Yarrowia lipolytica: one gene and its partner. The protein of the gene in region 2 interacts with the protein of the main gene of each other region in a pairwise test. Links are inferred from orthologs where the notes say so. Each region holds a gene or a part of one and is shown on either strand. Other genes may lie near its edges.

The links.
Region 1: the proteins of YALI1_D25419g (region 2) and YALI1_B21323g interact in a two-hybrid assay, tested with the Saccharomyces cerevisiae proteins (2 studies listed by BioGRID). The link is inferred for Yarrowia lipolytica from reciprocal best matches to the Saccharomyces cerevisiae genes RIM20 and VPS4.

Annotation. Positions count from the first base shown.
Region 1 is NC_090771.1:2,128,810-2,136,728, forward strand, and holds YALI1_B21323g (uncharacterized protein), read left to right. Parts: upstream 1-3,505; coding exon 3,506-4,792; downstream 4,793-7,919. Other genes in the region: YALI1_B21313g (uncharacterized protein), read right to left, coding at 1-2,512; YALI1_B21356g (uncharacterized protein), read right to left, coding at 4,973-6,799; YALI1_B21381g (uncharacterized protein), read right to left, coding at 7,561-7,919. UniProt on the Saccharomyces cerevisiae protein: Involved in the transport of biosynthetic membrane proteins from the prevacuolar/endosomal compartment to the vacuole. Required for multivesicular body (MVB) protein sorting.
Region 2 is NC_090773.1:2,538,153-2,544,702, forward strand, and holds YALI1_D25419g (uncharacterized protein), read left to right. Parts: upstream 1-3,728; coding exon 3,729-6,050; downstream 6,051-6,550. Other genes in the region: YALI1_D25370g (uncharacterized protein), read left to right, coding at 1-1,029; YALI1_D25400g (uncharacterized protein), read left to right, coding at 1,893-3,401; YALI1_D25450g (uncharacterized protein), read right to left, coding at 6,248-6,550. UniProt on the Saccharomyces cerevisiae protein: Required for the proteolytic cleavage of the transcriptional repressor RIM101 in response to alkaline ambient pH, which is necessary for sporulation and invasive growth.

The DNA.
Region 1 (7,919 bases), on a different chromosome or scaffold from region 2:
TGTCTCCCTTAGTACCCCAAGTAACATCATGGGTGTTACAGAAGGAGTAGACCTGGAGGGTGCAGATGGACGAGGGCAGAAGCAGAATGTACTGGACTGAACAAGTTAGAATATGCCAGGGGTCCAGGTACAGGAAGGACATCACAGCATAAAGACCGTAGGTGGAGGCCAGGGAGACGAAAATGTTGGTGAACACGTTGTTTCCAAGAGACACAGTGTCTTCCAGAGTCAAGGTCTTGATGACAAAGTACAGACCCACTCCAGTTGAGTAAGCCGTGATCAATGCGAAGATAACCATACTGCCCAGGAACAGATAGTGAGAGCCCTGAGGTCGGTTACCCAAAGAAATCACAAACTGAGCAACGATGGTGGTAATGCAAAGATACTTGAAAATGACGAACAGAACGAGACCTCCATTGTTGGAAATGACGGCCGAGTCAGGGCCAGAAATGGAGCCTGCGACGTAGTAGAAAGCCAGGAAGAAGTTTCCGAGAGAGAAAAATGTAAACAGAAGCTGCAGGAACTGGTATGCAAACTCCACATGCAACAGGCACTTTCTCCAGACAGAATGGTCAGTCTTCCAGATCTGGGTGAAGTGGGTCAGAGAGTAAATGGCTGCAAAAAGAGCACCGTTGAGCCATCGTCGTCGCTGCGACACAAACTCAGGTACGCTGTCGGGCACATCAGTCTCTCCAGTAGCAGAAGGCACATACTTGAGCATCCACTTCTCATTGAGCTTAGCCACAAGCTCCCAACAAAGGATTCGATCTTCAGCGAGGTACATGTTGGAGGTAAACACATCAGCATCTCGACCATGCAGAGACTCTCCCTTGAAGTACGAGTTGAGAGGACCGGTTCCATCCGGATTGTTGCAGAGAGCTCGGTATCGGTAGGCCGACAGAGCTCCAGGAAGCACAGAAATATAACCAAACACAGACTCGAGGGGTTTGTCGAGGATGTTCGACATTTTGTACTCAAAGTTTTGAGAAGCCACCAGGGGGTTCAATAGAGCCCGCCACTGCTTACCCTTCATGGCGGTGATCTCTCCACAAGCTCCTCCAATGTTCGAGTCAGCGTCAAATGCTTTCCACAGATGGTAGAGTGAGTCCTTTCCTGGCTTGGTTCCAACATCCAGCAGAATGCACACGTTAGGCTGCAGCTGGGGGCAGAATGCGTTGAAGAGCCATCTATGCGAGTTGATTTTCTTGGCGTTCTTCTCCTTGAGACAGAACAGCAGCTGGACAGGCATGATACCTCGCTCAGCTCCCTGGAACTTGAGGTCCGAATCCAGAGACACCTGAGTGGTGTACTCGTAGAGATGTGCCTGCACCTCTTTTCCGTTGACGGTCTGCTTGGCAATACCATCTTGGTAGACACCCATTGCAGCCAGACAGTCGAGGACTCGAGGGTGAATTTTGGTTCGACCATCGGAGACGATAGTGACCACGACCTTCTTCCAGCCCTCCTTACCCCACACTCGCGACTTGTTTCGAGAACACAAGTGGGCAATGTTCTTCATAACAGCATGCATGGTTCGGGTAAAAGCCACTTCGTCTTCGTTGTACATGGTAATACAGATGCACAGCTGTGTTTCTCGCTCGTAGACAGCAGGTCGTAGGGTGAAGCCCTCGTCATTGAACTCATCGGGGGTAGCGGTACAGGCTGTGTATCGCATGTAGACAAACTCATCATTGTCTCGTCGTGGCAGGAACGAGTAAAGCTTGGTGGGGACGGGACAATCTAAGACCAGGTTACCTCGAACCAACTTGACCTTCTTTCGGGCCATGGACTTGTGACGTCGAGGCTGGGCTTGGAGGGGGGCCTCATAGAGGTGGGAGGCGACAGTGGCTACAGAGTGAGCATCAGAGTCATCCTCCTCGTCGTATTCCTCTTCATCGTGAACTCTGTCATCGAGGTACTTCATTCGGTAGCCGTTCTTTTCGTCTCCCTTTCTAAACTCCATTTCGTCGTCGTCATCTTCGTCGTGGTCGATCATAGAATCTCGGGAAGAGGTGGCGGTGATAGAAGAGGAGGTGGATTGTGAAGTGATGCTTCGGGCCAATGCATACTGGTGACCGTATCCGTGGCTAGAATGGCCGCCAGAAGAGGTGGACATGACAGACTGTCTCAAGTCACTGGTAACACTCATCTGCGACTGTCGTAGAGAATCGACTGTGGGGAACACAGGAGGAGGAGCCAGAACCGCATCATCATCATCGTCGTCAATGACAATGGGATCAAATTCACTCACAGGTGTCTCTCGACGAGTCCACTCTGCTCGAGGGGTTCCTCGGGCTCCATGAGCACTTCCATACCGAGTAGGGGAGCCGAAACGGGTCGGAGATTCGGCTCGAGGAGTGCCATAGGGAGATCCATAGGCGCCTTGTCGTTCAGGAGATCGAGTAGGGGAGCCAGGGTTGGAGAAGGGGTTGGCATCAATGTGGAGCGACTGACGCTGGCTGACAAACGCCGGCGACGGTGGCTCGGGCAGGTCTCGAGGCTTGTTCGACATTTGAGAGTCGAATTGGTTGTTACCGGTAGCTAGTGCGCTCTGTACAAAGAGGCGATATTTCTCTTATGTACCAACATGTCGGTGGTGCTGGGTCTACATGGTGCTGGTGTACTGTATAGTGCGAGGTGACTGTTTGTTTATACGCAACCTTGTTTTGGCAAGCACGGTTGGCCAGGCAACGGCGCTCCCAATAATTTTAGGGGTTATGCAAGATCTCTTATTGTTTGTCGCATAATAACACCACACTCCAAATATAGCATCGCAATGCAAGGCGAAATGACTACTGGAGTGGTACGTACTGGTACTTATTGAACAGTTGAATACAGTATGTACCAATATATTTACACGGACAAGTGACCGTAAGAGTCGGGGTCGCGTTTAATGAAATCCTTTCTTTTGTATACAGTATGAAGAAGTACAGTATTTGCTCCGCATCCCAATTGACTCTACTGTAATGGCCTAAATCCTGTCGAAACGTGAGATATTATCTTGGTTGTGCGTACGGTAGGCAACTTGTGAGATGTTTTGGTTCCCGAGGCGAGGCAACGTGCTTGTTTGAACAAGCTACGAGCATAAACTGCACCGGTTAAAGCTTGCTAGCAACTTGTGGCTTATTCAGCACGCCGACTACGCAAAAAATATTGGCATTGCCATCACCCAGAATCGAACTGAGGTTTCCACGGCCACAACGTGGTGTACTAACCACTATACTATGATGGCGGACTTTTATTAATTTGGAATCCGTGATAACTGCTATCCAAAGAATGAAAAAAATTGCCGCCGAAAGCGTTTAACACGTCCTAATGTGTTTATATGATTTCCAGCTATTGGATTTTATACATAACAACCCGGTTAGTTACGTTTACTCCCTTTACGACGTACCTTATCGCCACACCTCAGCCTTCCCACCTAGATTTTCAAACTCAAACTTGAGGTCCATCCACCACCTACAGCACTTATCGAGAGGTATTAACCCAACAACCACCCACACAAATGGCTACCGTGGACTTTTTATCCAAGGCGCTAGAAATTGTGCGCAAGGCGATCGAGGCCGACAACGCAAGCAAGTACGAGGAGGCACACGAATTGTATGTCAACGGACTGGACTACTTCATCAAGGCAATCAAGTACGAGAAGAACCCCAAGTCCAAGGAGCTGCTGCGACAGCGAATCACAGAGTATTTTTCTCGGGCAGAGCAGCTGAAGGAACATCTCGACAAGCAAAAAAGCAAGCCTGCAGCCCAAGCGGCAAAACAGGGAGGAGGAGCCAACGGCGGGGCCGGATCTGGAGACGACGACAATGATACCAAGAAGCTGCGAGGAGCTTTGGCTGGAGCCATCCTTAATGAAAAGCCCAACGTTAAATGGGAAGATATTGCTGGTCTGGAGGCAGCCAAGCAAGCTCTAAAGGAGGCAGTCATCTTGCCCGTCAAATTCCCTTATCTCTTCACTGGCAAGCGAAAGCCCTTGTCTGGTATTCTGCTGTATGGACCCCCCGGTACCGGAAAGTCGTACCTGGCCAAGGCAGTGGCGACCGAAGCCAACTCCACCTTCTTTTCCGTTTCATCCTCCGACCTTGTGTCCAAGTGGATGGGTGAATCTGAACGACTGGTGAAGCAATTGTTTGCCATGGCCCGAGAGAACAAGCCCAGTATCATTTTCATCGATGAGGTCGACGCTCTGTGTGGACCTCGAGGAGAGGGAGAGAGTGAGGCGTCACGACGAATCAAAACAGAGCTGCTGGTCCAGATGAATGGAGTGGGTAACGACGCTAGTGGCGTTCTCGTTCTGGGTGCCACCAACATTCCCTGGCAGCTGGATGCCGCTATTCGACGACGTTTTGAGCGACGAATCTATATTGCCCTACCCGATGCCGAGGCCAGAGCCCGTATGTTTGAGATAAACGTCGGGAACACCCCTTGTGCACTGACTCAGAAGGATTTCCGAACTCTGGCTGAGATGACCGACGGATACTCGGGTCATGATGTGGCAGTGTCTGTCCGAGACGCCCTGATGCAACCAATCCGAAAAATCCAGGAAGCAACGCATTTCAAACCTGTGGAGATCGACGGCGTGACTAAGTATACCCCCTGTTCTCCTGGAGACCCCCAGGCAACCGAGCTCAACTGGATGGAACTGGAGGACGGAACAGTTCTGGAGCCCGAGCTGACTCTCAAGGACTTCATCAAGGCTGTAAAGTCCACTCGACCAACCGTCAACAACGACGACATTACTCGTCATGAAGACTTCACCAACGATTTTGGCCAGGAGGGTAATTAGCATCGGAGCAGCGAATAACTAACGTTTGTCACGCATATATTAAGTAGATAGTTAATGAGATGATATGACCAGATTGTGTTAGTGCGACTTGTAATCTACTACTTGTAGTACGTGGAGACTCAATTCATTATTAATGCTGCATTACTTTATGTTCTATAGACATGTCTATTCCTTGCCAGGCTATAACTCCTCCCTCAAAGAAGGCTCGATTCTGGTACAAATGTCGACGAATCGTTCAAGGTACTGTTCTCGAGTCTTTCGACCCGTCCAGAACATGCACCACTCGCTACCGGGGATCTTGAAACTGCCCTTCGACCGGTCAAAGTACCACTTGTTCACGGGGTTGTTCTTTCGAGATCGCCACAGCAGCTCGTTGGGGAACTGAGACATGACCATACCCTTGAAAACCACATCTGCTACCGACGAAGAGCCCTGGGACCGTTTCAGAACGGCAAACTTATCAAGATACGCCACTTGGTTGGGGTTAAGAGGCACGGCATCTCCCAGTTTCTGATACAGAGGCGGCGAAGGAAGGGGGATACCTGCTGCATAGGCCGCAGCTGCCTCGGCAGCTGCTCGATCGGCAGCATCTCGATCCTCCTGGGCCTTGACTGGGTCAATGTCTTCCCATGTGATGATAGCTGCTCCCTCGTAGTCTCCAGCAATGATGATACCTGCGATTTTGCCGTTGACTCGGTTGAGATAATGCTGTTTGTCGATTCGTCGTCCAAAGGAGTCTTCAATCAGATGCCACAGACGGTCCAGATCAATGTTGCCTTTCTCGTGCTCAGTGATGAGGTTCAGGCCTTTGTCAGACTTGAGTGTAATGACAGGCATACCCTCACGCAGAAGAGTGGTTTCTAGAGTGGGAGTCTTCTTGAGCTCCACAGGTAGAGAAGGCGAAATCACAGGTCGGTCTGTGAGAACGTTATAAATGATGGGGTTTCGTCCTACTGAGGGAATGGCCGCCACAGCAGGAGTAGTAATGAGACCGGAAGCTGTAGGAGGCAGAAATTTGAGGGCTTTGTGCATGGCCTTGAGGTTGGCCAGATGTACTTCACGCTGAGCAGGAGGAATGAAACCCATGTGCAGCTCGGCAGCAATGTCCGATAGTTCCTGTTTGAGGTTGACAAAAACATGGGCTCCTGATCTCTCAACGGAGGGAATGCCACCCAAGGGGTCCACGAAAATAATCTTTTCCACCGACAGAATGTTTGCTGGTACTTCGGCCAGCTTCTGAGTGAGGAAATGCACCACGTCGTCCGCCATAACGAGCTTTTCCTCGGAGGTAACGTCGTCGTAAGCTAGGGGAGCCAGAACAGGCACTTTTCCATGCGACAAAGGATGCATGAGCATCTGGGGCATGGCCAGCCGAAGACCCTTCTTGTTCATGGAGAAGAGTCCCTCAATAGGCCGTGCTCCAACGTCTGGACTAGCCGCATCGATGGCATCCGAGATCTTGAACACCTTTTGCAGAATGAGCTTTTGGTAATGTCTGAAGGGCTTGTTGTCGAGCTTGAGGAAGTCGTTTCGGGCCTTGCCTGCGTCAACTACGACAATAGGCGACACACCCAGACGCGACAGTCGAGCAATGGTTTCTCCCATCTGAGCAATGAGATCATCCTCGATTGACTTGATGTCTCTGATCTTGATAATGGCTACTCGCAGAGTGCCTTCCGAGTCGCCCAACAAACCCTCTGGGGCATGGCCTGTCAGATTCTCAATCTCCTTGTTGTCCTGTTCCTTGCCAACTCCCAGTAGTCTCTGGACCAGTCCCTCTTTCTTCTTCTGCAGCTCCACACCCGTCAATGGTGCGTATCGTGAAATATACGTCTTGGCCTCTCGCTTGGTTGCTGCCGACTGAAGCACGGAGAGAATGAGATCTTTGGCCTCATTAGACGACTTGGCGGCTGGAGGGATCGCAGTTTTCGTGGGTGTCTTGGTCGTGTATGAGTGCCACCCGCGTGATACACAAGTACCGGCTGTTATTCGAGAAGATCTGAGCATGGTGTGTTATGTGTGACTGTGTATTGCAGCAGCTTCTGGCGATGTATTTTCTTAAAGCACTACGAAGAGCTGCTTATTGCGGGGACGTGCTATCTGCATGATTGAGTTCTTGGGCGGTAAAAATGTACTTTTCCAGTGGACTATTTTTTGCCGAGGGTAGTACACTGTAGATACCATGAGAATATATAGCCTAGAAGGCACTCTGGCTACTTTTAACACAATAAAGACTGTTAACTATTGACATATCACCTCTAGCCAAGTGCAATTACCTGTATCCATGTCTGTATGTCTTTATATGCATGTCGGGTCCGGTCCTCCCGGGCTCAAAGTGCTATTTGTAGATTGGAAGAGTTGCTGATACATGAACACACATGATATAGATAAAAGTCGCTGATAGCGATGCGAGGAAATTTCTGCGATCGTGTGTGTTCCAGTGTGTTTCTGATGCTATTTACGTCAAGTGCTGTTAAAACTGTTTTGGATATTACTTCTACTGACTCACTTATCGCCGAAGTTAGGCCGACACGGCTGAGTGGAGAGCTACTTGTTGGTAAGCACGACAACTAGAGACAGGGGAGCAACAGCAATGACCATATAACAACGAGTACTTGTACTGTATGATACTACGAGTATAACACCTACATTGTACTAAGTGTAGCGAGATTGTAATATGCTTAGCTAGGAAAATGTACTCAATCATTTTATATACGAGACCGGTTAAAATTTCACAATAAATATCTATACAGGTGTATTTTTTTTTTTTAGTGCGCGAATCTGAAATCCAGACGTCGGTTTCCTCGATCCTTGGTGGTACGCAGATAGGCCACCTGTTCTTCCTTGGTCATGGCAGCCCATTTCTTGTCTCGGTAGTTGTTAACCGACACATAGTATATCTTGACCAGGATGAGCAGAACGATGCATGCAATATTGATGGCAAACAACTGAGTGTTTCCTCGCTTGTAGAGAGGCTTGTCGTCGTTTCGGTAGATGTTGGTTGCCATGACATTTCCAGCCTGAACACACATGTTGTACATGGCTGAAGCTACTGTTCGGGTCGACACAGTGTTGGAGTTACGCGAGGTCCAAGCCACCACAATGGCGTGGACGTAGGGGTATCCAA
Region 2 (6,550 bases):
ACCGAGGAAGAGGTCGACGACGAAGCTGAAGCTGATAAAGATGGATTTGCAATCCCCAAGCTGCCTTCTAACAAGGCTGTCACTAGTGTTTCTGCTGGATCCGATATAGGAGGAGCTACTCCTGCTGGGATGACTCCTATCAAGCGGGACGCTCTGGGTTTGGTTGGATCTGTCGAAGCTACTCCTGTTTCTATTCTGCGCCAGAAACTGGCCTCTCTTCCTAAGCCCAAGAACGATTTCGAAATCACTGCGGAGGACGAAGAGGAAGATGAGGAAGCTGATAAGGAAAAGAAGCCTACAGATAACTTGCCAGTTGATAAGGGCGAACAAGCTCGATTGAAAAGAATTGCCGAGGAGCAGGAGCGACAAGAAGCTCTCAAGACTCGTTCTCAGACTCTTCAGAGAGGTCTTCCCCGGGCTACTGTTCCTGAAGTTACTTACAATGATGCTATCGGTCAAGAAGTAGTTGCTCTTCTCAGAGAGGAGGAGCTTAGGTTTCCCAATAAAGGCGATTCTGTGGCTCTAATGCAGTCTGAGTTCTCTCTCGACGACTTAGTGGATGCCGAAACTTTGATTGAGATGGAACTGATGGAGGGCGATGAGCAAGAAGTGCAGGAGGAGGATATTAAGACGGCTGCTCTTCCTGGAACAGTTGCTCGTTCCGACGAGTCCGAGGAGGAGTTCAAGACCCGTGTGGAAATCATATCCGACCAGCTTGTTGAAACGCTAACTTCTCTTGCGGAAACTTGCCAGACCGAAGAGACTGCTCTGGTGGACAAGTTTAAGGCGTATGCCAAGCGCCAGGCTACTTTATCTAAAAAGCTGACTTCTCGGTGGTCTCAACTTGAGTCTGTTGAGGTCGAGATTGCCGTGTTTTCCGAGTTAGCCCGCATGGAGGAGATTGCCATTGAGCAGCGAAGCGCGGCTCTGCAGGAGGAGGTTGACTGGCTCGTCAAGAAGGAACGTGCCGCGCAGGATAAATACCGTGAGTTGAAGGTTAAGGAGCAGGCCGCCAAGGGTGGCCATTAGGAGTCGATTAGTTAAGTAATTATTTATTGTGCATTTTGAACAGCTGATGGAGCAACAGGGCTGGTGAAGGCCTCTGCTCCGGGGTGCTCCTGCGCTCGGGTAGATACAGCACAAGTAGGTGGATCCTTCCGGAAGTGGCGATCCGGGTCGTTTAGTACTTTTTAGTGGGGAAGTGGAGAAGTTCTAAGCGAATACGTTTGTATACTTATTGACTATATGAATGGTGGAATGAGGAACGATTGCGGCAGCAGATGATGCACTTGTGATCTATTAAGACGTCAATCCTCCCCCTACGTGTGTGCTATCAGGCTACTGTTCATTTGGCCCCCAGTCAAAGTGCGCCAGAGGTTGGGCTCGACGACTATCATCGCTAGTACATACTTGACGTCTACATTTCTAATCCTATCTCTGGTCTAAAAAGATTTTCCGACAGTCGATTTATAATACAAGAGCTACGAGTATGTATATAACTACGTATATACTCGTGTAGAAGCGGACCGGAGGCGGGGACTCAACGTACTAATTTGGACTGACGAAGTTGGAGAAGCTGTCGTTGAGGAGTGAGACGTTGCGCAAGGCTGCAGATACTTGAGAGCATGTCATTATATAAGACTCCACAGTATCTTCTTGGCTCTCGTATGGGACAATAACAGACCAATACTGTCTCTATCCATTCCGGGACTACACATGGCCACAATGTTTCACCAATAAGACTGTGGTTGGACCGCTAGACTAAAGGGCGGAAAAGCAGTTCACGCCTGAGGGGTCATGATCTCGCCATTTAATGATTAAACACGACTTTTGATATCCAGGCGTATATATAGACCTGTCTACTCGCTCAATCTGTCTGTATACATGTCAGCATGGATTTTGACAACTTCCCAGCACCAGATCTGTCTCCAAAGAACATCAAGAGGTACCTAGTCACTCGAGTCACTTCTTTGAAGCCTCCAAAGCTCACGGTTGAGGAAAAAAAGCACATCAACCCGATTCCTGCCCTTCGACTTCTGAACAGGAAGCAGTGGTTGTTTGTAGCTGTGGGATTCTGTGGCTGGGCTTGGGACTCGTTTGATTTCTTTTCTGTGTCGCTGGTTGCATCTGAAATTGCCGAGAGTCTCCATGTGTCTGTCACAAGTATCACCTGGGGTATCACTCTTGTGCTCATGTTGCGATCTGTTGGAGCTGTCATCTTCGGAATGCTGTCGGATCGTTTTGGACGAAAATGGCCCTTCATCACCAACTGTGTCTTGTTTATTGTCCTGGAATTGGGCACCGGGTTTGTACAGACATATAAGCAGTTCCTTGCCGTCAGAGCTCTGTTTGGAATCGCAATGGGGGGTATCTACGGCATGGCAGCAGCTACAGCCCTCGAAGACTGCCCAGTACAGGCCAGAGGAGTCATTTCGGGACTGCTACAGGAAGGCTATGCATTCGGATACTTGTTGTGTGTCGTGTTCACCCGAGCCATTGCCGATACTTCTCCTTTTGGGTGGCGCGCTCTTTTCTGGTTCGGTTCGGGTCCTCCTGTTCTCATCATCATCTTCCGACTATGTCTTCCTGAAACCGACACCTATCTTCTTTCTAAAAAGAACGCAGCAGAGGCCGAAGGTATTGAAAAGAACTTCTGGCGAGGCATCAAGATGACCTTCAAGACGTACTGGCTCATGTTTGCCTACCTGGTTGTTCTCATGGGGGGCTTCAACTTCATGTCTCATGGCTCACAGGACTTGTATCCGACCATGCTCAAGAAACAGCTTGGATTCAGCGAAGACCGATCTACTGTTACCAACTGTGTGGCCAACTTTGGAGCTATTGCCGGTGGCCTTGTTGTGGGTCACGCTTCTTCTTTCTTTGGAAGACGACTGTGTATCATGATCTCTTGTGTGATAGGGGGAGCGCTGATCTACCCTTGGGCCTTTGTCACCAACAGTGGAATCAATGCTGGAGTCTTCTTTCTGCAGTTTTTTGTCCAGGGAGCCTGGGGAGTCATCCCTATTCATCTTACAGAGCTTGCCCCTCCGGTCCTTCGATCGTCAATGGTAGGGGTGGCTTACCAGCTGGGTAACCTGGCTTCTTCTGCTTCTTCAACCATTGAAGCCACTATTGGAGAAACATTTCCCCTTTATGACAAATTCGGAAACGAAAAACCAGGAGTGTACAATTACAGTCTGGTGATGGCCATTTTGATGGGTTGTGTCTTCTTTTTTGTGCTTTGTGTCACGTTTCTGGGTCCAGAAAACAGACAGGCAGAGATGATCTCTGGAGGCTCTGAGCAGGATAATGCCTACGAGAGGAAGCTCGAAGAGATGGAGGACGAAGAGAAAGGGGTCACTGAGAACATTGAAAGACGTTCTTCGAGCGATACTCGATAATTGATTAATGTAGGGTGTGTGTGTGACGAGTAACGAGTACTACCTGTGGTTGAGAGTATGAACAAGTAAAGTACATCCTGTAGTCAATGAGCGGTCAAGTATCATGTTGCAAATTACTTGGCTTCTTAGTTTGATTTTTAATTTCCCAACTAAGAGTCCAATTACACTCTGTCTACTATGTTCTTATCACATCAACAATAAGCTCTCGCATACAACAACTCAATCAGCAACTTGTAAACATCGATTCGTGCCTACTGCTGAACACACTGCCAGCTACTGCTTGCAAGTGCGGAAACGACCCCAAAACACCAAGAGCGTCTTGCGACCATGCCAAACATCATCTGGATCCCGTTTCGGGAGACACAAGCTGTCGATCTAATCACAGGACTGGGCGACACCATCGAGAAGCAGCTGAACCAACCTCGAGACAAGTTTACAGCCGACCTGAAAACAGCCAACGACCTGCGTAACAACATTCTCAACCCGCAACCAAACGCCAGCTATCTCGACCACCTCACCAAGTACTACGCCCAATTGACATACTGGACTACCAAGTTTCCAGCCGGATGCGATAGCCTGGAGTTCATGTGGTACGGAACTCTGGCCTACACCGCCAATGCCGCCCCCGTCATCAGTCAAAGCCTTCATTTCGAGCGATGCAATCTTCTCTACAACCTGGGCTCGCTGTACAGTCAGATGGGCGTCAATGAGGGAAGGCAGGACGCAGACGGTCTAAAGATGTCATTCAATTACTTTCAAATGGCAGCAGGATGCTTCCAGATTCTCATTGAGAACGGCTTGCCAGACTTGGAAAGTCTCAACATGCGAGGACTCGAATATGACACCATTTGCTGTGTTAGAGATCTCATGTTGGCCCAAGCACAGGAATGTTTCTGGCAGAGATCGCTGCTGAGTGGCTCACGAAACTCTCTGGTGGCAAAGCTCGCGCAGCAGGTATCTCTTCTTTACGACTCGGCGCTCGCCTGGGCCCAAAAGAGCCCGCAGGTCCGAAGCGAATGGGTGCATCACATGACGTGCAAACGACAGCACTTTCTAGCGGTCGCACATTACCGAATGGCACGTGACGCACTGGATGGATGCAGATATGGCGAGGAGATTGCACGTCTCAAGGCTGCTCTTAATGCCATCAAGGAGGGGACAGGAAAGGGTATGCTCAGAAGGTACCTGGTGGAGAGCGTGGCCGATGATTTGAACGGAATCATCGACGTAGTAACCGAAGATCTCAAACGGGCCGAGAAGGATAACAATCTTATCTATCTCCAGTCTGTTCCTCAGACAACCGCTCTCGCTCCTATTACACCTGCACTGATGGTCAAATGTACTCCTCCCGTTGAGCTGGCTAAGCCCATAGAGTTTCTCACAAAGGACAAGCTGGGTCTTCCGCTGTTTGTCAAGCTCACGCCCTTTGCCTTTCACCAAGCCCTCGTTCTTTACTCTCAGGAATGTGATAAGATTGTTTCATCTATTGAGAGTCAGCTGAAGAACTGCACCAACAGCAAAAACCAGGCTCTCGTGGAGATGGCGCTACCGGGATCATTGGACTCGGTCGAGAAGCCCAAGGGTATTCCTGCCGATATCATTGCTCATTCCGATCAGATCAAGAGTGAGCGAGGTCTTGAGACCACCAGAGAGGCCGTTAAGGACGTCCAGAGACTGGCAGCTACCGCGCGACAGGAGCTAGAGGCCGCTAAGGCTGTTCTTGACGACGAAAGAAGCGAGGACGAGATGCTGAGACGTAAAAACAACTCTGGATGGACCAGATTCGACTCCAAGGAGGCTGGAGCCCACCTTTACACCCGTTTGGCAGAGCTGGAGCAGTATCTAGCTGATGCAGGGGCGTCTGATAAGCTTGTTCGAGGTAAATTGGATGAAATCGACTACCTCCTGTCGATTCTCAACTCAGGGCGAAGTGCTCTAGAGAACTACTTACCATCGTCTGTTTCTGGAGTTCGGTCTCCCGAGGTCAAGCGGCAGGTGCCCCACTTGCGAGATCTGCTGAACAATCTGGAGTCATTGGAAATCAAACGAGCTCAGTACATGGATCGACTGTCTCTAAAGCAGCAGAATGACGACATTGAACCTGTTTTGGAGTATCACATGAATAAGCTCATTCGAGAGAAGCACGCCAACCTGCGTCTGACCCTGGCTGACTTCGAGCCCATCACATCCAAGGAGCTGGAGAAATACACTGTTGACCAGGACTGGGCCTCCGAACAAAAGGAGCTTCAGGAGGAGGTGCTAGAGAAGCTTGACGTTGCCAACAAGGATTTCCGATCCTCGCTGGACATGAACGATGCTGCCATCCATAGAGAGAACGCCATCCAATCTCTGGAGGTTGCTTACTTTAGCTACCAGGAACAAAAAGACCACCTCGATGCTGGGCGAAACTTTTACAACCAGCTTCTGGGTGAGATTTCCATCTTCCACAAGAACTGTAAGCAGTTTGTGTACGAGCGAAAGATGGAGGGAGCTTCTCTCGAGCACGAGTTGTCGTCTATGCACTTGTCTGAGCATGAACATAGCGGAGGCCACAGCGATACATCCTCCACTCCCCTAGCAGCTCCCAGAGCTCAGAGAGCCAGCAACTTGAGCATGTGGAGCCCCGAGGATGGTATTCGGTTTGGGTAATTATGGCTATACGAGTCTGGCATTTTGACATTTACTTAACTCAGCATTATTACAAGTATGTACGTCTGTACAGAAGTATGTATGTACATACTGTACTTCTGACTAATGCAGTTTCAATCACAGTAGTTTTACGAATGTAGATGATAAATGCATTGTTATATATAAAGCGAGTTAGATGGATTTTCGAGAGATGCTTCTTACAAAGTGCCAGGCTTCTTGAACTTGAGAACCATTTCGTTTCCGCTGTGTGTGTAGCCGCACTTTTCGTAGAAAGGCACGTTCTTGTCGGAGCAGTCGAGAATGACCTTGTATGCCCCGACCTGCTCAGCGATGGCTGTGAGGGTGTTGATGAGATGGAGACCGAGCTTCTTGCCCTGTTCCGATGAGGCCACAGCAATGTCTTCGATGTGACCTGCCGAGGCGCAGTGGTGGATCAGCTTTCGCTCAATGACCACAGATCCGATCGCCACGACTCGGTCCTTGTCGTTCACAATGACCAC